Linked DNA regions of Mus musculus: regions 1 and 3 are each reported to be linked to region 2. Evidence: microRNA targets listed by miRTarBase, many of them from high-throughput screens and not tested one by one. Region 2 holds a microRNA gene; each other region holds the end of a gene's coding sequence.
Evidence for each region. The annotated mature microRNA mmu-miR-136-5p reads ACUCCAUUUGUUUUGAUGAUGG and lies in region 2 at 4,064-4,085, opposite strand. An mRNA with a match to its seed (bases 2 to 7 or 8) in the 3' UTR can be bound and repressed. Matches are read on the target gene's strand: a 7mer-m8 pairs with bases 2 to 8, a 7mer-A1 pairs with bases 2 to 7 and ends in A, and an 8mer does both.

Region 1: the mRNA of 2510009E07Rik is a reported target of mmu-miR-136-5p. The part of its 3' UTR that is shown has no 7-base or 8-base seed match.
Region 3: the mRNA of Ttc33 is a reported target of mmu-miR-136-5p. Seed matches in the 3' UTR shown: 8mer at 5,930-5,937 and 7mer-A1 at 5,581-5,587.

The regions. Positions count from the first base shown.
Region 1 is chr16:21,647,045-21,654,242 of GRCm38, reverse strand. 2510009E07Rik (RIKEN cDNA 2510009E07 gene) reads left to right here. Exons shown (of 2, transcript NM_001001881.2): 2 at 485-5,198. The coding sequence ends at 1,041. Among named protein-coding and RNA genes, the nearest start is that of 2510009E07Rik, 44 kb to the left of the region's middle.
Region 2 is chr12:109,592,218-109,599,415 of GRCm38, reverse strand. Mir136 (microRNA 136) reads right to left here and starts at 4,089; the gene lies at 4,028-4,089. Rtl1 (retrotransposon Gaglike 1) reads left to right here. Exons shown (of 2, transcript NM_184109.2): 2 at 3,928-7,198. The coding sequence starts at 4,013. It overlaps 6430411K18Rik (RIKEN cDNA 6430411K18 gen), which reads right to left. Exons shown (of 1, transcript NR_002848.3): 1 at 6,565-7,198. Mir127 (microRNA 127) reads right to left here and starts at 6,570; the gene lies at 6,501-6,570. It also overlaps Mir434, Mir432 and Mir3071.
Region 3 is chr15:5,216,253-5,223,450 of GRCm38, reverse strand. It overlaps Ttc33 (tetratricopeptide repeat domain 33), which reads right to left. Exons shown (of 5, transcript NM_026213.3): 5 at 5,115-6,301. The coding sequence ends at 5,948. Among named protein-coding and RNA genes, the nearest start is that of Ptger4, 24 kb to the left of the region's middle.

The sequences.
Region 1 (7,198 bases), not on the chromosome of region 2:
ATTCCACCCCACAGAGCGCAATCCACACCACAAACATACATATACTACACAAACACCCCTCACACCACACACACACACACACACACACACACACACACACACACACGAACATACACACTTGCCATGGACCAGATGGCTTAATTAACATCTGTTTTTTCAGCCAGGCTGGGAAGTCTAATGAAAGTTTAGTGGGTGCTTGTCTGTTGAGGACACTCATCTGCCTTACAGAAGCTGTCCTCTTCTTTAAGGACATGAAACCCACGGGGCATCCACTTTACCATCTCATGTAGATGAGCATCAGCTTGGGAATCAGGAATTTAATACATGAATGTGAGGGCTGTCAAGTGACGGGGATGTTACTGGTTTGATCTGGATGTCACCAAAATAGTTAGAGAACATGCTCTGTAGAGCCAGACTGTCACAGCTACCTAATAGAGTTTGCATGGTGGGCCTATATTTCAGCTGTATCTTATGTGTCCCACAGGCAAATATGTGTATCAGCCTATGACCCCCGTGGAGCAGCTCCCAAGCACAGAGATCCCTGCAAAGCCCCGAGAGCCGACTAACACCATTCAAATCTCCGTCTCGCTCACTGAACACTTTTTGAAATTTGCGTCTGTCTTCCAGCCTCCGCTTCCCCCTGACTCGCCAAGGTACTGTATGATTTCCGATCTCTTCATCGACAACTATCAGGTTAAATGTATTAATGGGAAGATGTGCTATGTGCAGAAGCAGCAGGCGCCCCACTCCCAGAAGATGAGCCCTGAGGAGGTCTCTGCACACGATGCCTTAATTTCTAAAGAGAGTGACACTCCGAAACTGGGTCACTGCTCCTCCCCTTCCGGTTCCGAGGACTCGGGGATCAACGCCATTGGGGCTCACTATGTGGAATCCTGTGATGAGGACACAGAAGAAGGGGCGGAGCTGAGTTCCGAAGAAGATTACAGCCCTGAGAGCAGCTGGGAACCCGATGAGTGCACCCTGCTCTCCCCATCGCAGTCGGATCTGGAAGTGATTGAAACGATGGAGACCACTGTGTAGGCAGCTGGGAACTGCGGCCGGAGGTCCACCCTGAGCCTCTTCTGTTCTTTGATTGGACGAGTCCTTTTCCAATACTCTTGGCCTTTTCCAAGGCATATTACTAACAGTCGCAGTCCAGTGGTCTGCTTAGTGTCCCCTTATATTACCTTGTAACGACATTGTTTCCTTTTGTATCTTGCTTTCTATGTAGCATCTGGTGTCATGAGTTGTGACCCAGCCTTAATTTCACTGAGAACTTTGAGAGCAGTGGTGACCACAGCGTATCCAATGGAAGAGCTACCCAGAGTGGAAGTAACCATATTTTACCAGTAGCCTGTCCTACGTGATGAAGGCTCAGCTTCCCTTTGGCGTGTCATGTGACACCTCTGTCCTGTTGGTTTCCGGGTGGGGGAGCAGCTCACTTCTGGAAACAGTGTTGCAGCCACTGTTCCCTCCCTTGCTCTTCTGTTTGCCACCCACATTGGCTCAGGACAAGAGTGGCTTCGGCTACTTCTAGGAGGTCCTTGGAGGCCCTTTTGACTCCTGGTGATGGCCATGTCACAGCATCTGTGACTGAAAGGGTCTCTGGGGTTTGTGTCCAGTCCAGCTGGGATTCAGGAGGACTCAGTCCTGGTTCTCACCTCGAAGGGGCCACATTTTAGTACAGGACACAAGTCAAGCAGCTCGCTGAGCCAGGAGGATAATGGGATCAGGGGAAGGAGAGTGGAGTTGGCCTGGGCTGGCTGAGAATGTGGCTGCCGTGTCTGAGCTGACCCCAGGTGGATTCTACAGCGCCCACTGCCCTTGATTGTTTTGCAGTTCAGGGAGAAGCATTTAGGTTTCGTAGGTATTAGAGTTAGGAGGTAACACATCTGACATCTTAAGGAAAAAATACACACTAGTTTTAGTTAGCATGAAAATGCTAAGAGACAGAAGTCCTTTAGGGATTAGGAATGAATCTAATAGGTTTGATCAATCCTGCTTCGTTTGGTTGTATGAAGCATTAGAATGGCTTAGATGAGAAATGGACTAGAATTTTGTATGATGCATGGATTTTATGCAAATGCAAAAACAGTTGAAATAGCTCACTGCTGAGTCAGGAAGATGTTTTATGTAACACTTCTTCACTTTACTCCACTGGAATCCACACACATTGTGTGGATTCTCTCTCACACACAAAATAGTGAGTAATTCTTATGTAGCTTTCTTCAAAACTCTGTTCCTAATTTGCTATTAACTGTGTATTCTCATGTGATCTTATTATCTGCCATTTCCCCAAATATATCTGTGAGGCATAGTACAAATCTGGGACTTTTAAAAATATACTGTCATAAAACAAGAGTCCCAGGGCTGCAGGGAGACCTGCCTCAGATCCTGGCTGTCTGAGCAGGCACTGTGGCCTTGCTGTGTGATCAGCATCTCTCTACATCCCTCTGTCTCATTAGTGTGTACTGCAGGCAAGGAGAGCATGCTCCCTAGGCCTCCTCATTTGGGGGCTCTTCACTATGTACGCAAGGAAGAATCTGCTTCCCTAGTTGGATATGGAGTCCCAGTGCTTACTACTAGAACCTTCTTTAGGCTGCCTATCCCCAAACACCCAGTGTTCAGAAGGCAGAATATATGCCTTCCTCTGGAAAGCATTAGTTAAAACGCCCTGTGTGAGATGAGAATGTAGCAACTCCTCCCTCTCCCCACATACTTAAGGACTCACACCAAGGACCAGCAGACACAGGGAGTGAGGATTCACCAAAGACCAGCAGGTACAGGGAGGGCAGGTGGGAGCCACCATATCTTGGCTGTGGGGTCATTCTGCTGGCCTGGGATGGTCTGGTGACACCTGGTGGGCCCAACTGAAGGTCGTAGTGCCTCACTGTCATGGAAAGGAAACACATGAGCCACATATCCCTCATCCTGCACTCGTGGCTGTGATGGGCAGCAGCGGCACCATCCTCAGACCCTGAGGTGGAGAGGCAGACACACGGCAGGACTTACTCCTGCACCTTTCCTATCTACTTTTTTGCTACAGGGCCACTGCCACAAATACTAAACTAACTGGGATCTAGAACCCGGGCCCCAAAGCCATGAAAACACACGGTCATTGCCAAAGTTCTGAAGGCTAGCTGTGTGTTGGGCTTGGTCCCTTTATTAGTATAACATCTGTGACTTCTGTCCAGGGTCTTGTTTTCTAAACCCCTGAAACTGCCACTCAGACTTGCCACCATTGTGATGGGATTTTTGGATTTAATAACAATTGGTGATCACATTAAATATTTGCACCAACTTTATAACTACATTCACTAAGCTTCACTTGCCGTTTTATAAAATTGGACACGTTCCCTTGCATTCTTGGATCTCCAAACAGCCTTTTCTAAAGAAGCACAGCCGAGAGGTTTTTGGTTTTCTCCTCCTAACAGACTTCATACCAGTAACTGTCTGAAATATGACTAAGCCAGAATCATTTCTCTATGCTTGCAGTCTGAAATCAGCTCAAGAGACTATAAAAAAATTGTATAGCTTAACCACAATTCTAGGCCTATTCTGTTCTTTGTTCTATGAAAGAATTTCTCTATAATCCTGATATTATAGTGCTGATTTGTATATGCGTATTCATAGGCACTTTAGAAATACTTAGACACAACATGCACTGTAGGCGGTAAGCACAGTGGTGTTAAATAGGCTTTTGACTAACACTTGTACAGTGAGAGAGACAAAAGCTTGCAATCTGGACCTTATAGGATGCTTGCCTGGAGCTAGGCTTGGACCACGTGGATAGGTTTTTGTGGGATTCTGGCACTGTTACCACTTTTGAAAGGTTGTTGGGTACCAGGGTAATCCCACTAAATGTGGAGTATACTTTTCTTACCTAACCAAGATCTTAAGTTTCAAATGTGTCCATAGCTTTTGTTTTTTGTTTTTTGTTTTTCTGAGAAATGACAAAGCAATTAAAGTCCTTTTTGGGATAACTATTTGATATCTTTAAAAAAAATGAACTTTAAAACCTGGGGTTTTTTTTGCCTTTAACATTTAAGGAATAATATGAGAATCTGAGGACAACCCTGAAGACAAAGTTGTTTTCCTAGAAGAAAAGACTAATGCCTCAAGGTGAACAGACTAAAACCTGAGCCACAGAATCCAAACACAACACAGCACAACACAGTGTAATATGGAGCCACAATGTAACACAACACAACACAGTATAATAACAAATTAACAACACAACACAGTATAACAAAATAACAACACATCACAGTGTAATAACAAAATAACAACACAACACTGTATAATAACAAAATAACAACACAACACTGAGCCTCCGATCAGAAGCACATGGCTGTTTTCTGACAAGCCTTTAGGACATGATCTATGATCTGATTGTTTGTTTTACTTTTTAACCTCACCTGCTTGCCTGATTGAAGTAACTTGTTCTTCTAGGGTTGATCAGAACAAATTATTCTTATGCAAATTTGATAGCAACCAGACACTTTAGAAAGTCAAAATATCCATATATGCCTGTAGTGCAGATACTGCCATGTAAGGGGAAAAAAAAAGCACAAATTTAAGTAAAATACTCTTTATGTCATCTGCTCTTGATTGTTCCCAAATCCTATTTACAAAACTTTATTGTCATGGTTTTGGCTTTTTACTTGAGGAAAATATTCTAACTGGTCTCTTTCCTTCCTGTTTGTCCAGCGGTGCTGTGAACTAGAACCGTGGGTAGAGGCCGGGTACCCTGGGGTTTGTGGAGAAGGTGTCACTGTGCCCCTTCTTTGTACTACACAGCCCAGAGCACCATCTTAAACCTCAGTATAAACACAAGGGCATTTCTCAAAATGAATTTGTTTTTAAATTTCACCTTGTCGTGACTATGGTACGGGAACACGGGTGTCCCAGAAGGGCTGGTGCAGTTCAGGGGGAGCTGCTTGCTGCGGAGGTAAGGCACCTGGAAGCCAGCCTAGGGTTTGGATGGCGCCTCCAGGGCACTGGGTCTGCACGTGGGTTAAGGCTGTCTGTCCTTTGCAGTAGTCACCTGCTGTGCTAGGTTCTTTTGAATCTGTTTTGAAGTTTAAGCACAATGTTGACCCTTCTGTAATTTCCTAAAATTACATTGTTTTCCTAAGACAGCTCAACTTTAGGAAAGTACTGCTGTACAATAAACGTGGTTTCCTTTTGTACTAGAACAAGACTGCCGTTGGGGTTTTTTGTATCAAGTGTTCACTGTGTGTTAGGAGATAAGCAATTCATACTCCTCACCCATTCAAATTTTCTAGATCTTCGTGTGTGTGTGTGTGTGTGTGTGTGTGTGTGTGTGTGTCTCGCCACTTGTGTTAACTCCCAGAACTCCATGTAAAACCTTGTGTTGGCTCCCATCAGGTTTATATGAAGTAAAAACTATGACCCCACAAATAACATTTTTTTTCTGGCACCAGTTTAGGCCCCCATTTCAGTTCATGAATGCTGTGTAAGATAGGTGCAGATACAGGTTGAGCAGTGAGGGAGGCTACTACCCCATGGAGCTCAGGGCCACTTGATGGCTAAGGCCAAGGGTCAAACTTCACTATGGCCAGTTCTGAATTTTTTTTTTTTTAAAAATCCTTTCTATTTTATGTACTTTGTTTTATTTTATCTGCCTGTATGAGGGTATTGGATCTCTTGGAGCTGGGATTACAGAAGAGGAGGAGAGGAGGAGGGGGAGGAGGAAGAGGAGGAAGAGAAAGAGGAAATTGTCTCAGGTCTAAGACAACCCCAAGGTGAGCTGTCATGTGGGTACTAGGAATTGAACTTGGGTCCTCTGAAAGAGGAACTGGAGCTGCTCTTCAGCTCCCAGAAACTCCTGTTTGATTCAGTATGTCAGCTTCTGGGCTTGGGTCCATGGCACAGCTGTCCCCAGGCAGTAGTGCCTTCACTGAATTCCTGATGCTGCCTTACCATTTCCAGTGTGGTCTTCCTAACATCCCATGTGGAAACAAGGGCAGCCCAGAAAGCACGACAGTGGCACCATTCACTAGTCAGGGTCAGATTTGAACCCAGGACATTGGCCCAGGAGTCCACACTGATGGCCCTTTGCTTGCACTACTCCATGGCTACCTACAAGCTAGCGAACACTGCCCGAGCCTGGTGGCTTGCCACACAGTGCCACAGAAGGGCTGTGGTCTAGCCTCCCCTTTCAGTGTACCTGATTACCTGCTCACATGCAGTCTTTCCTACCAGCTCCACATTCGGATTGGTCCATCAAGGACAGCGGATCTCATGTGCATGTACAGCTCAGTAATTTAACTCTGCAGAATGGCACTACCACATGCTGGAAAGCATCTTATTGTTCGTAGTCTTACAAGTGCTGACTGCCTACAACCGTTCTGCAGTAAGCCAGGCTAACATCTTGTCCTCATTGGGAACTGTCAATGTCCTTAACTCTCATTGTGCAGCTCAGCACAGAATGAAGAGGGTAAGATGGCACCTGTCTCTTGGCAGTGAGTTTCAGGAGAGATGTTCAGGTGGGGGGCCTTAGGAACCAGGGAGACACGATGGAAGAACTCGGGAGGCCTGGGAAGGATGCCGAGTTATGCGGGTGGTTTTGTTACTTTTTTGAGTTTTCTAAAATGAACCTGTATTTCCATTGGCTAAAAGACCATTTCGTTTGAAAATGGAAGGTGGGTGTCCAGGCAATGGCCACAAGACTGTATCTTTTGAGAGTCAAGGGCATTGCTGGGAGCTTGGAGCCAATGAGCGTCCATTGAAGAATGAGCCTTTCCCAAGGGCTCCAGCCATGGCTGGACGCTGGTGGGTCAGGGGAGGTCTCCCTTTGTTTCTAGCTGGAGATTGCCTAGGAAATCTGGAGATGAAGGATTAGAAAGGTTGGGCTTTGGGGATGTTTGAGTCCCGTGGCATCCAGCCTGTCACCTGGTGTGAAACTCCAGACAATCTCAGCGCAGAGATCTGGTTCCCTGTAAGATGACCAATGCTAGCGTTGTAGACTTGTGGAGCGCTGCAGGTTGTAGGCACCTGTGTCTCACAAGCATCTCCCCACAGAGCAGGTTCTTCACTGTCCGTGTGTGTGTGTGTGTATGTGTATGTGTGTGTGTGTGTTGACTGAAGCACAAGACTCAAGTCAGATGCAGAGTTCACATGGCAGGGACACAGTCCGGGGCCAAGCCCAGATTCTCAGTGCATCCCTCACTGC
Region 2 (7,198 bases):
GAAATGTAGGAGAAGATTTTAAGTGGGAGTTTTGTGAATCAATTTAAGTTTCTGGGGTAGAAATCTGGACTTTATTTTGAGAAATCAAAAATTTCTATCACACTAAGGGCTTTGGGCTTCTGCCAAAAGGCTTTAAAAAAAAAAAAAAACTTAATGGTGAGATTGCTTGCTTGTGGGAGATAAGCTTGTAGAATGAATGATAAAACATATTTTATGGCTAACAGCTTTGGACTTTATTATTACAAGCAACAAGAAACACCGAGAAATCATAACTAGGAAAGTGAACAGGCACACATTTAAGATCGTGCCCAAACACTCTGACTTTCTATGTGGAGAGAATGCCAAAGTTTGACTCTCAGGGCAAGCCAAGGAGCTATGATTAATGTAGACACCAAGGAAAGGTTTCAATTAGAGGAGTTACATGGCCGAGTTGGGGACTATGCAGAGAAGTTTGGAATTTATTTAGAGGCTCAGACGTGATGAGGTTTTTGCACATGTTTAAAAATTTGATTTATCCAATTCTAACGGAGTGACATGGTGAGTTTTCTGTGTTTGATAGATATAACATAGCTCTGTTATGAAATCAAATTCTCGCCGCATGCCAAGAATCTAGACTTTTTATGTCCTGCACAATTAAGAGACATTGCCGAGTTTTTAAGGTGGGGTCACAAGCTCAAATTTAATGAACTGTGCTAAGACGTGCGAATTTTATTCTAAGGGATGACGTATCAGATTATAATATCACTTGAGTAAGTTTGGACTTGAGCCAACAAACGGCTTCAAAGTGTGATGGGAGATTTGTTGGTTTCTTTTTTTTTTTTTCTTTTTCTTTCTTTCTTTCTTTCTTTCTTTCTTTTTTTTTTTTTTTTTTTTTTTGGTACGTGACATGATAAGATCCTGTACTGTCTGTTAAGAATTTGGAGCTTCATGCTACATAGAAACTTTGCAACGTTTTAAATCTGGGAGTGACTCCTTACAGCCTGTGAATTCAGCAGAGAAGGGAGTGGACACTGTAATATATTTAGGAGATTTGACCCATGTGCAAACTGAAGGCACTATTGCATCCTGAGTGAGGGGTGAGATATCATTTCTGATCCTTTTGCATGGGGGCGGGGGGTGCTGCGGGATGCTTGGAGTTTGGCCAAGGAAGGATTTTAAGGAGTGAAATGGTGAAGAGTTTTGTGTTCAAAGGAATCTGATGATGTTGAAGCGTGTTTTTATGCTAAGGTATGTGGATTTGGTGTGCTGTTTACTGCGTGGGTGACTGTCCACTGGCCCCCTCAGTACCAGGGCATCCAGTGGGACTTTTTTCTTTTTGTGCAGAGAAATGGGGTGACCTCCAGATGAGAGGTTGAATGACATTTACATAGCGTGTCAGGTTCGACACGGTGGTGAGGGGTGTGAGGAGTCCTCTCATGCCATGCTGAAGAATTTGGATGCCAGCCACGATGAGATTTTTAGGAGAGTGATATCATGAGCTTTGCATGTTGGATAGTCTCAGTCTGCTGAGAAACGTATGGCTTTATGATCATACTTTAAGACTTGGTCTCCATAGGTGAGGCAGAGACTTTGTGAGGCGTTAAGCAGAACATAAGTACATGCATGTTGCAGGAAGCTCGACATTTGTTACCATACAATAGCTTTGGACTTTGTCAAAGATGTTTTATTGTGGCCTGTGAAACTGTGGGTTTTTGTATTGATTATGTTGATTAAATCACATGGTTTAAAAATAATTTATGCTAAGCAACTGGAACTTCATGGTAAAGAAAAGAAATGTCTGTGTATGTGAATATGTGTGCGTTAAATAGGAAAATCATAAGATGAAAATTGTTTATCTCAACTAAAGGTTTATTCTGATATCCAGGCATATTAAAATTTTTAGGACAAGAGATTTTTGGTTGAGGGCTGGAAAGCAGAAATATCTAATCCCTTACATGATCAAATTTGTCTGTAATATTTTAAGTATAGGCATTTTATTTAGAACGGGTATCATTTAGCTTTAAAATCGGATTGCTGCAAATTTAAAAATTGAAACCATGAGCAATTTTTAGGTGGAGACCTGCTGAGATTTTTATGTCCCGCAGATGAACTTGGGGATGAATTAGTCAAATTTTATATTTTAATAATAGACGACTTTTCCTGAAAGAGGAAATAAGTTGATTTATGTAATATGCTGTGCATGTTTCTGAGCTGATGGTCTGTACAGCAGGCTCAGGACCTGTGATCTCCAGTTCTAGGAATGAGAAGCCCAACGTGGACATTATGCTAAGGCCTTTCAATTTCAGCCAGGAGTTTTTTTTTTTTTTTTTTTTTTTTTTTGGTAAGTTTACATGTCAGACATGTTTATATAAAAGGTTTGGATTTAATATTGCCGACAGTAAATAAACAGTGAGAGGCTTTAATCAGAGGGGTTGCATGATCGAATTTAAGTGTCATGCTAACAAGGAGATGTCTAATTCTGAGAAACTGCAGACCCAAAAGCATCCTGCTGCAAGGTTTGGAGGATGGCCAACGGGAGTTTTACATGAATGACAACATGGGAGATTTCTGTTTATTTGGTTTTGTGTGTGTATGTGTGTGTGTTTCTGTTTTTGGATAGGTCAGCCCAGTGACCTTAAAAAAGAAAATTGAGAAGTAACAGAAGGTGCAGAATTCATAAAGACAATAGCTATATGGCTGAGCTATTGAATAACTAGCTTAATTTGTTTTGCAAACCAATACATCCCTTTAAATTCAATTTCCGTGCACTAAACCCTCCATGGCTAGATTTTCAAAAATTACGGAACAATCAGATTTCAAAGGTCCCATGCCCCCCCTTTCACCCAACTTCATACCTCTGTTAGATATACCCCTGTACCAGACGAAATCAACAGTGACAGAAAAGGGGGGGGGGGCACTTTTGAGAACGAAAACCCTGCTCCTGCCGAAGCAGAGGAGAAACTTGGAAAGATAGCATTTGTGAGACGTGCAGAAATGTTTGCATGAGCAGAATTGAGGCCAGATGTTTAAAGCTGCAGGAGCCCTGCAGACCAGGCAATCCTGGGAGAACAGTTTTTTTGAAAGCCCGGGAAAGGGTGTTTAGAAAGCTCCGACTCAGCTCAGAGCTGGAGAAAACGTGGCTTTGGACAGAGATCAAACCGAACAAGAGAAATGATACTATCCCTCCCCCACCCCCCTCTTATCCTGCATATGCACAAAGTGTGACCTAGGATGAAGCCATGAAAGTGCATGTTTTCAGCACATAGTAGGCATTTTATAAACATTTATGGGGAGCAAAATTAAAACCAAAAGCCATGGCTCTCTCTCACTTATTTCGGCTTGGAGCCTAGAGGAGGAAATAAGAGCTATTTTTGGCTGTTGACCCAACTGGCAGGATAGTGGCCAAGTGCCCAATTTCTCCTCTTTCCCCAGTTTGTGAAATAGCAGGCATCTCCCTGCAGATTCCCGCCTCCAACCAAGCTCACTGGGCTGGCTCTAGACCACCAAGCCTGCCAGCAGCCGCTTTGAGTGGCATTGAGATGTGACCTTTATGACTTTTGGGTGACTACAAATGGGAAGGGAACCTGGCCAGGGCAAAGCGGGCCAGAAGTGTGCCCTGCCAGGTGCTAGCTCGCCACAGAGGACGCTCCAGGCCAGTTGCTCCACAAAATTTATGGGCTGTGAATTTCTCATTCCACTAGAGGAAGTAGGCAGGTGGGGTAGTCAGACTCCGCCTGGAAGGCAGGTCAGGGGGTGACGGTCTTTCCCCTGGAGGTGCCCCAAGTAACCAGAAAAGGAGGCTGAACTGAATGCAGGAGGAATTTCTCCATTTTCTCTCTGATTCTAGTAACTTGGCATCTGCTTTGTCCTTGAGATAGAATCTGACCCTGCCATCTTGAGAACCTAAATTGCTACATTTTCTCCTGTCTTTTATCCCTCTGTCCCTAGGTTTTGGTCTCCACAGTTGCGGTCTCTGACCACACACATCACAATCTTACCAGTCTTCAGAGCACACTCCTTTCCAACCGACGACATGATAGAACCCTCTGAAGACTCATTTGAGACGATGATGGAGCTTAAGAATCCATCATCAAAACAAATGGAGTCCTCCGAGGGCTCATCCAACACCGTTGAAGAGACACCAGGCAGCAGTGGAGCCCAGGCGGGGGCCCAGGCAGGGGCCCAGGCGGAGGCCCAGGCGGAGACCCAGGTGGAGGCCCAGGCGGAGGCTCAGGCTGAAGCCCAGGTTGAGGCCCAGGTTGAGGCCCAGGCGGGCTCAGATAGTGGCCCAGCCCAGGAAGAAAAGGAGCCACCCAGTGGCCCCCTCAAGGAAATGCAAGAGCTGCCCACTAATCTACTCCAAGAAGTGGAGGAGCCATCCAGTGGCCCCCACCAGGAAATGCAAGAGCTGCCCACTGATCTACTCCAAGAAGTGGAGGAGCCATCCAGTGGCCCCCACCAGGAAATGCAAGAGCTACCCACTGATCTACTCCGGGAAGTGGAGGAGCCATCCAGTGGCCCCTACCAGGAAATGCAAGAGCTACCCACTGATCTACTCCGGGAAGTGGAGGAGCCATCCAGTGGCCCCTACCAGGAAATGCAAGAGCTACCCACTGATCTACTCCGGGAAGTGGAGGAGCCATCCAGTGGCCCCTACCAGGAAATGCAAGAGCTACCCACTGATCTACTCCGGGAAGTGGAGGAGCCATCCAGTGGCCCCTACCAGGAAATGCAAGAGCTACCCACTGATCTACTCCGGGAAGTGGAGGAGCCATCCAGCGACCCCTGTGAGGCATCATCTAACGATCTACCCCAAGACATGGAGGAATCAAGTGATGATGGTTCGAACCAGGAGTCGAGTGATGGTTCAAACCACGAATTAAGTAATGGTTCAAACCATGAGTCGAGCTTTGGTTCAAACCCAGAGTCGAGCGATGTTTCCAACCTGGAGTCAAGCGGTGGTTCAAACCAGGAGTCCAGCGATGGTTCACAAAAGGAGTCAAGCTATGATTCAAACCCGGAGTTAAGTGATAATTCAAACCAGGAGTTAAGCGATAATTCGAACCAGGAGTCAAGCGACAGTTCAAACCAGTCAAGTGATATTTCAAACCAGGAAGGGTCGGAACCACTCAGTGAGGCATCCGATTATAGCATGGATGAAACAATCAACTCATCCGAGACCCAGTCAGACCAAGATGATACTGACCTGGGAGATGACGAGGAAGAGGAGGAAGAGGAAGGTGGTGAAGAGGAAGGTCAGCCCAAGAACTCTCCAGAAGAAGTCGTGGCCACCATGGGGAACGTCATCTCGCTGTTCCTCCGGATGCAAGACCTAAAAGAACAACAGAGAGTGGCAGAAAGGCTCATGATGCAGGCTATCAACGAAGGTCGCCTGCCCTCCCTCAGGCCCTTCTCTGGAGATCGCAGAGACTACCATGAGTTTGTCGTGCTCTGCCAGATGACAATGCAGAACTACCCAAGTATGCTATACAATGATGAGCTGCGGGTGAAATTCGTCATCCGCCACCTGACTGACCTAGCCTTGGAATGGGCCAACGACCTCGTAGAGCAGAACAGCCCAGTGATAAACAACTTCTCAGCCTTCCTGGAGGCCATGTCAGAAAAGTTTGAGTATCGGCAGACCCTGCGTGTGGCGGAAGACGCCATGTTCAACATCAGGCAGGGGAACCGCTGTGCGGCCGATTACATCAATGAGTTCCGGGGTCTGATACCCACCTTAGGCTGGCCAGATGAAGTCCTGCAGGCCCACCTGTGCCAGGGGCTCAACGAAGAGATCAGGCACTATCTGTTCCGGATCCCTCAGCCGAATTCCCTAGACAACCTGATTGTACTTGTCCTGCAACTTGAAGAAAAGCTGGCAGAGAGAAGAGCATTACTCAGGCTGCCACCTGAGTCGCGCCCAAGAAGCGTAGCCTGGATGGATGCTCCCGCCCCAGAGAAGTGGAGGGTAAGCAGCTGGCTGCCCAATGAGTTCCACCCAGACATTGATCGCGATCACCTCTTCTTACTGCTCTTGGTGAGAGTGGACCCCTACCACAGTGTCGCAGTGCGGGCCCTGGTGGACTCAGGAGCAGAAGGGAACTACATGGATGAGAGGTTTGCCCAGGAACACTATGTGGAACTCTATGAGAAGCCTTATCCACAGATAATCCAAGGTGTGGATGGCATCCCAATTGGCAATGAACCCGTCTGGCTGTGCACCGAGCCCCTGGTATGTGTCCACCAGAAGCATTATGAGTACATCGAATTTGACATCTTACCTTCGCCCAACTTCTCCATCGTCTTAGGCATGAAGTGGCTCCGAACCCATGCCCCTGAAGTCGACTGGATGAGAGGCCGGTGTACCTTCCACTCTCCCTACTGTCTGCGGAATTGCTTCACCCCACCTCCACCATGCATCGCACTAGAGACATACAGCATAAGCCTACTGCCCGGATTGCCACACACATACTCAGACCTGGCCGACGTGTTTAACCCGAGGGAGGCAGATGATGAGACTTCCGACCAGCCAAGCTCAGACGGATCCGATGATCTTTCTGAATCAGAGCCCTCTGAGCTTCAGCAGGCTGGAGACAGTGATCAAAGCGGCGTCTTTTACGAGTCTGGGGCCCGAGAGACTTTGGAACCTGTGAGCGCCAGGATGCAAGAGAAAGCCAGGCAGCAAGAGAAAGCCAGGGAGCAAGAGGAATACTGGATACTGTATGACATGCTGACTGACAGACAAGACTACACGCAGATGGTACCAGAGCTATTCGACCAGCTACATGGAGCGGCATGGTTCACAAAACTGGAGCTGCTTGGGATTAAGGAAAGTGAGATGAGGCACACGGTCACACACACGGAAGACACTTGGAGAGCATCGTTCGGTTTCGGCCTTCACCAGATGAGATGCTACCGGCCCTTCACAATGAACTCATACTCTGACGAAGGGAACAACATTGTTCACTTCATCCTAAAAGACATCCTAGGGTTGTTTGTGATTTGCCATGGCAGAGAGGTCCTGGTCTACTCAATGAGCCAGGAGGAACACTCCCAGCATGTCCGCCAAGTCCTGGTCCGCTTTCGGTATCACAACATCTACTGTTCACTGGACAAAACTCAGTTCCATCGCCAGACCGCTGAAATCTTGGGCTTCAACATATCCCCCAAAGGGGTGAAACTGAACAAGAACCTTATGAACCTCATCGTGGGGTGCCCT
Region 3 (7,198 bases), not on the chromosome of region 2:
AAGACTACAAGCCAATATCCTGTTATGAACAGACACAAAAATCCTTAATGTAGTATTACCAAATTGAATTGAGCAGTACTTAAAATGGATAATCCATCATGACTCAGAAAAATGTATCCTAGAAATGTAATTGACTTAACATTTGTATAGTAACTGTGTACCTTATCACAAAAAGACATAATTAATTAATTAATTAATTTATGTACTTGCTTATTTTCTGAGGCAGGTCTTGCTCCAGCTGTCTTGGATACCACAATGGCACCTCTGCTCCCAAGTACTAAGATGACAGGCCTATGCCAGGTAGGAAACAACTGTTTTTCTATGAACAGTGCTAGACATCAAAAACCAAACCTCAGATTTTACTATTATCACATATAAAATGAACTTAGCAAACAACAAAACTGATCATAAAAAGCAAAGCTGAAAATATATAGTAGAAAATACAGAAATTCCTTGTGACTTAGTTAAGAATTGATCTCTCAGCACGAAATGGAAGAAGAGAAAACCCCTTTATACCGGCCTTCACCAAAGTCTAACGTGTCTACTTTCTGAATAGTGTTTGAAGAAAACTACAGAGGAGAGAAAATATTCACAACAGTAACTCATAAAGAATTCTTATCCAGTGTTAGTTGTAAAATGGAGTAAAGAAATCAAAATTTAAAATGGGGAAATTTGAATCTATACTTCTCCCCAAAAGATAATGTCAGGTACGTCCATGAAAAACAGCAGCAGGCACTGGGATGCAGGCCAACCAGAAGTGCTTACCTGTCCTGGCGCTCAGTCTCCAGCATCATATAAACCCGGTGTGATGGGCCACACCGCCTCTACTGTCAAAGCTTGAAAGGAAGAAAACGGGAGATCAGTAGCTCAAGTTCGTCCCTAATTGTGTGGCAAGTTCACAGCTGCCTGAGCCAGAACACACGGCACTGTGTCAGAAAAGAGGAGAAAAAAGGAAGAAATGCAGCCCCACATCACCAGGGAAATACAGACTTAAAATATAACAACCACTAGCCTGTCTAAAATAATAAAGATGAACGATACCAAGATTGACAAAGGTATCAGAAAATGAACAACTCTTCAGCAGCTGCTCGTAAATCCAAAATAAGGCAAACTTTGGGAAATAATTTGGGAGACCTTTAAAAGTTTCATGTAAGCTGTACAAACAACAGGAGTTGTATCCATTTAAGATAAAGAAAGTAATACATGTGTCCATAAACAGAATGAATAATCTGTACATAGCAGCTTTACTCAGAATAAAGCAAAACAACCGAAACGTTCAATAGTAAGCTGTTGTATATTCCTACAAGAGAATACTCAGGAACAGAGCAGACAACATTGCTGACATACGCACTAACACGGATCACATACACTGTGCTCAGCAAACCATGCCAGGCATAAGAGTGCAAGTGTACAGTCTATGTGTTTGTAGTCCTATAAAGTACAGTCTAACTGACAGCACGGAAAGCAGACGGTCCTGGGTGCAGGCGAACTAGAATGCATAAAATGTTGGAGACTTTCTGGGTGGATGGGGAACTACTCGTGGTGGCAGTGACGGTGGAGATGCACCATCAGCAAACTTAAAGTGGTTGCTGTTCCCTATATTTAAATTATAGTCACTTAAGAAAAGACAAAGGTGGGTACAGGATATTATAACTCACTCCACATTCCCCCCTTCAGCTTTACGCATTACTACTATTCCAAGCAGTAGACCTTTTAGTAATGTTAGCAAATCTTTCTGTTGTCTTGTAACAAACATCATTCATTTTCAATAAAACCTCCACAACTTTAAAAAAATAAAAGAAAGCAAAAATTAGGATTTTCACATTTTGTTTTTACTAAATTTCATGCTTGCTTTGAAATACAGTCTTTATTGGTATTTAAGGGGGTCTTAGATGATCCTATGTGAGCCCAAAGCCAATCCTAGCATTTAAAAGAGTCCTTTTGGCCTCTGACCTACCTAAGGGAAGAGCTGGGGACATGCAGGTTATGCCAGATGACCTCACAGATGTACTGGCAGTTCTGAAGCACGGGTGCTGTTCCCCCACCCCCCACCTCCATCCCCACCCATCCCCTCCTTTTCATTGCTCCCCATTACAATGCAGCTGGAAGGAGCCGTGACCAACCCAGAGAAACAGGAGAACCAGACCAGTACATCCTGTCCTCCATCTCCCTGGGAGGTGGGAGGCTGAGCAGGATTCCTTGGTCACTGGCTGGTCTAAGAAGCAAAATGAAAGGAATTCATTCCTACCTAACCTGCTTACCTGCTTGCCCAACAGGTTCACATTGGTTAGCTTTCCCACCACCCTCCAAGTACAACATAGGCAGTTCACACATTAATACTCACAAGGAACTGAATATAGCCAAAGGGACACCATGGCTCTTACATTCATTCAATGTAGCCCTAGTCAATTTTGCACGTGGTTAAGGGACACAATTTCAGATAAAAATCTTCATTTCATTTAAACTTACTTCTGTAAAGGGGTAATTGACAAACTGCCCTGCTTTAATACTGGTTTTAGAAGTGAGTTTCTCTAACCTACAATGCCAGCAATCATAAACTCATCTCAGAAAATCCCGTTTTAGCACACACGCTGAAGATGATGACTGTGGTTCTTGTGCTAGCTCCTAAATCATTCAGACATACGCTATGTCATGAAACCCCAGCCTAGGATGTCTGTTACAAAGTGGGGTTTGAAGGGTTTCTGACTGAAGGAAATGTAAAAGCTGATTAATAATTAATTCTCTTATTGCTGGGAAAGAGGAGCCAGCCTGTGAGTCACCGTGCAAAGCATAATCTGCAAGCGGACAGGGCTGAGCTGTCCTGATACAATCATGAAAATACCAGTTTTCTAAAACAACTCCTTCACTGGTTTGAGCTAACAGCGATTTAAAATAGTTGCATGCTTATGCCATCACATCCTGCTTTGTCCAAAGGCTCTGGTTGCAGTACACATGAGCTCTGACATGCCTCTCTTATAACTTCCCAATACTGTCAGATAATTACGATACAATGCTTTGTACCCTGGGCACCTGCATCCTTGGAGGTATCACGAGTCTCAAGTTTACACGTATGGTCTCGACGTGTAACACTTGAGTAAGTATCTATAGCATATAAATTTTGAAACCAGAACAACACAAATCCATATTCAATATAATTTTAATCACTAACACTGTTGTTTATGATCATCCATTAAATATAATTATATCATTATGAGTATCATCTTCTCCAGATTCATAAAATTCGAGTGTTATTAGAATTAACAGCTTTAGTAAACTTTTATATACTGTTGCTCACACCCCAGCAAAACAATGGATGCATGTTTAGCTTCCTACACGGAATGATAGCTAAAGTATCTTTTGGGGTCTGGAGAAATGAACCTTTCTTTTTTCTTCGTAACTCATTCTCCCTCCCCCACATCTTACATCTATGTTGTACCTTATACTGGGGTAACAGAAAGACCAGCATGACCCGCCAATTCCAGGACAGTTGAAACAACAGGTTCAGCAGCAGCAACATGCAGGCCACGTGTGGGCTTGCCTCTTTGGAGGTAGAGGCACAGACTCTACGCTAAGAACAATCTCTAGCTGACAACCATCTTTCAGTTTCACAAGCAGTAACTTCATTCGGATAAAAGACTATAAAAATCTTTTCAAAATTCTGAAGAAGTGAGAAGTATTTCCGAACTAAGACAAGTTCTTCCTAGAACTAGCTAGCTAGCATGTGTAAGGGGCCATACCAAGTGGCTCACATATACTTCTACACAGGAAAAAAAAAAGATATACAAATCTAATTGTCAAAATCTAAGAGGAAAATCTCCAAAACAGAGGGAAAACCATTCACAAATTATATAATAAACAGGTATTTGTATGTAACATATCAATTCTCTTGGCATCTAGGTACTCTCTGAGAATATCCCTTGTTATTTAACAAAATAATTTTTTTAGTCATTCTAAAACTCTCTTCTATCCAGGGGCTAATTATCTGAAGATATAATTGGGGAGGGCGGTATATAATACTTCTTAAGAAAACTGCTGATTCTCTAACTCTGAAAACAAAAAACAAAAAAACAAAAAACTAGTGAACATTCCTCTAAAATACTTCAAAAATACCATCCTCATAAAAATACAGAGCACATTTATATGTCACAACAGTTTTTGCTAAGATTACATAATACAACTGAGATAATTTGTATCTCTGAAAGAAAAAAAAAGTTACATCAATAATAACTGCCTGAGCATCAGAATGAACAGCACCTAACAGTTGCATATGCTTGCACTATATATGCATATATATAAGTATACTGCATATGCTTGCACTATATATGCATATATATAAGTATACTGCATATGCTTGCACTATATATGCATATATATAAGTATATTGCATATGCTTGCACTATATATGCATATATATAAGTAAACTGCATATACTTGCACTATAATATATGCAACAAAAACAGTAACTCATAGCAATAATAGTACTGATTTGTGACTGTGACTGAGAATCTCTAATAAACTTTTTCTTGTGTTGTTTTATTTTCCCACCGATTTTGCTTTTTTCTGAGGCAAGGGCTTACTATGTTGCCCAGGCTGGCCTTGAACTTACAACTCTCCTGCCTTAGCCTCCTCAGTGCTGGGATTACAGGCCTCTGCTACCACTCCTGACACTGAGCTGCCTCCTTACCACACCCGTCCCGTATTTGTGGGATTACACTATTCATCACATCCCAGCTCCCCGTCAGTCACACCCTGACACTCTAAGAACTCTCTCTTTTTACTTTTATACTTAATTGAAATTGTAACTATTTTTTTTCATTTCACTGAACAGTTCCCAAAAAAGCTGTTTAGAAAGATGTTTATAAATTGTTCACTGCAAAGTTACAAGCAAGAAGTATTTGTCAGCAGTGGTAGATCATACCTGTATTCCCAGCAGTCTAGATGCTAAGGCAGGAAGATAACCCTGAGGCTAGCATGGGCTAAAGACAAGAAATGTTTTCAAGCTTCTTCACACTTTCAAAAATAAGAAAGAGGTCTGAGGATGCAGCTCGGGCAGGTGCTAATCCAGCGCTCTGGGGTACTTAGCCTCTCCCCTAAAAGAATAAAAGGAAAGAAACTTTTTTGACCAGGATAATGCAGAAATAGACTTTACTGACAATCTGCAAATGCCATTCATCTTGACAAAGGACTGACTTGTGGTAAAGATGACTCAATCTTGACAGTAAAATGAATCCATCTCTGACACACCAGTATCCAGTTATCAAGTCCTGAAGAAGACAGTTAGCACTTTTTAACTTTAAAGTCAAAACAGAAGCACAAATTAGAACATTAGCACAACAACAAGAACAACGAAACCTTCAAAGAAATGTTCAGGACACATACATCTGCATGCATTTTTAGGCAAACTTGAAATATTTCAAATATTCACATATAACAAAGCAATAACTTTGAATCCAAAAGAATGTCAGAAATATTCAATCTTGATGAAAACTTACACTGGTGAAGCAAGAAAAATGGGAGAATGACAACAGCAGATTTACAGGAGGGAAAGAAACCGCACACTTCCTTTATCACAAAGCAAAGTCTCCATGTCGGCACTGTAGTAACACGCCTGTCAAGACACACTATTCAAGAACACACTTTCCAAACTGTGCCTTTAAGGGTACTTTCCCATACAGTCAAATTAAATGCTTATCGATCAGAACACATTTCACGTAAGATGCTAACTCTAAGTATATATATTGAAGTTACAGAAGCATAGTCCGCTCACTGAAGAATAATTCCACAACTTGATTTTTCTATGTTTCACCTAAAAAATCGTTTTAAAACAGGATTTCTTTTTTCCCCCTCTTCCTCCACAGTGCATATCCTATGTCATCAAAACATTAAGTAGCAAACAAGCAAACAACAAAAAAAAAAAGATTCAAACATCTCTCCATTGTGTATGGCTTCACCGGGCTTTGATAAAGACGGAGCCATCTGGGGTGGAAGAGCCCTCTTCCTTCTCGTTTACGATCTCTACAGTCCCAGACGCCGACACAATAACCATTGTTTTATTTGCAGACACCGACTTCTGTTTTTCTGCCACGGCTGCACAAACAGCAACAATCTCATCGCTTTCAAAGTCATAGTCCGGGATGGACCCTGGAGAGAGGTCCGGGCCTTCCGGGGGCATTTCTTTGTTTTCAATCCTCTGGGCTACTTTCTGCTGTTCTTGGAGCTTTCTGGCCCAAGAAAGGTCTTCCTTCCAGAGTTCAGGGTTCATCGGATATATGTGCAGGGCTATTTGAAAGCTTCGAATTGCCTGGGAGGAAAGATGGTTTTATCTGGGTTATTTCTAAAAGTCGCCAAGTTAGGTACAGTTACATACCTACAAGTTAGTATGGGTACATATGTTGGCACACACACATTTATACAAATATAATTTTTACAATCAATTTTTTAAAAAGATAGGCTTCTGTCATAATAATTAGATAATTATGGTAGAGACAAAACACAAGTGTGATGGGGAAGGCTGACAAAATTCTGGTTTTAGTTTAAAAGCTACTAAATCAGGGGCACTGCTATGAGGGCTTAAGCATCTTAAAAGAATCATGCTATTCACATATTTCACCATGGGACAACTAGTATACCACATAATAAAAGAAAAAAAATCATAGGATTTGTCCCAATAGATGAAGATATATCATTTGACAAAATTCTGGATCTCTATGATTAAACACTTAAACACTTAAAGAAAGAGTCAAAGTCCTTAGTCATCAGGGAAATGCAAATAAAAACAAATCTGAAATGCCATCTTATACCTATCAGAAAGGCTAAGATCACAAACTCAAGTGATAGCACATGCTGGTGAGGATGTGGAGCAAGGGGAACACTACTCCACTTCTGGTGGGAGTGCAAAATTGTAGCCACTTGGGAAATCAATCTGCCAGGTTCTCGGAAAACTGGGACGAGTTCTCTCAAGACCCAGCTATACTACACCTGGACATATACCCAAAAGATGCCCCACTATACCACAGACACTTGTTCAACTATGCTCACAGCAGCTTTATTCATGATAGCCAGAAACTGGAAACAATCTAGATGTCTGCCAACTGAAGAATAGATAAAATGTCCTACATCTACACAATGGAATACACTATTCAGTTATCAAAAATAAACACATCATCAATTTTACAGGCAAATGGATGGAACTTGAGAA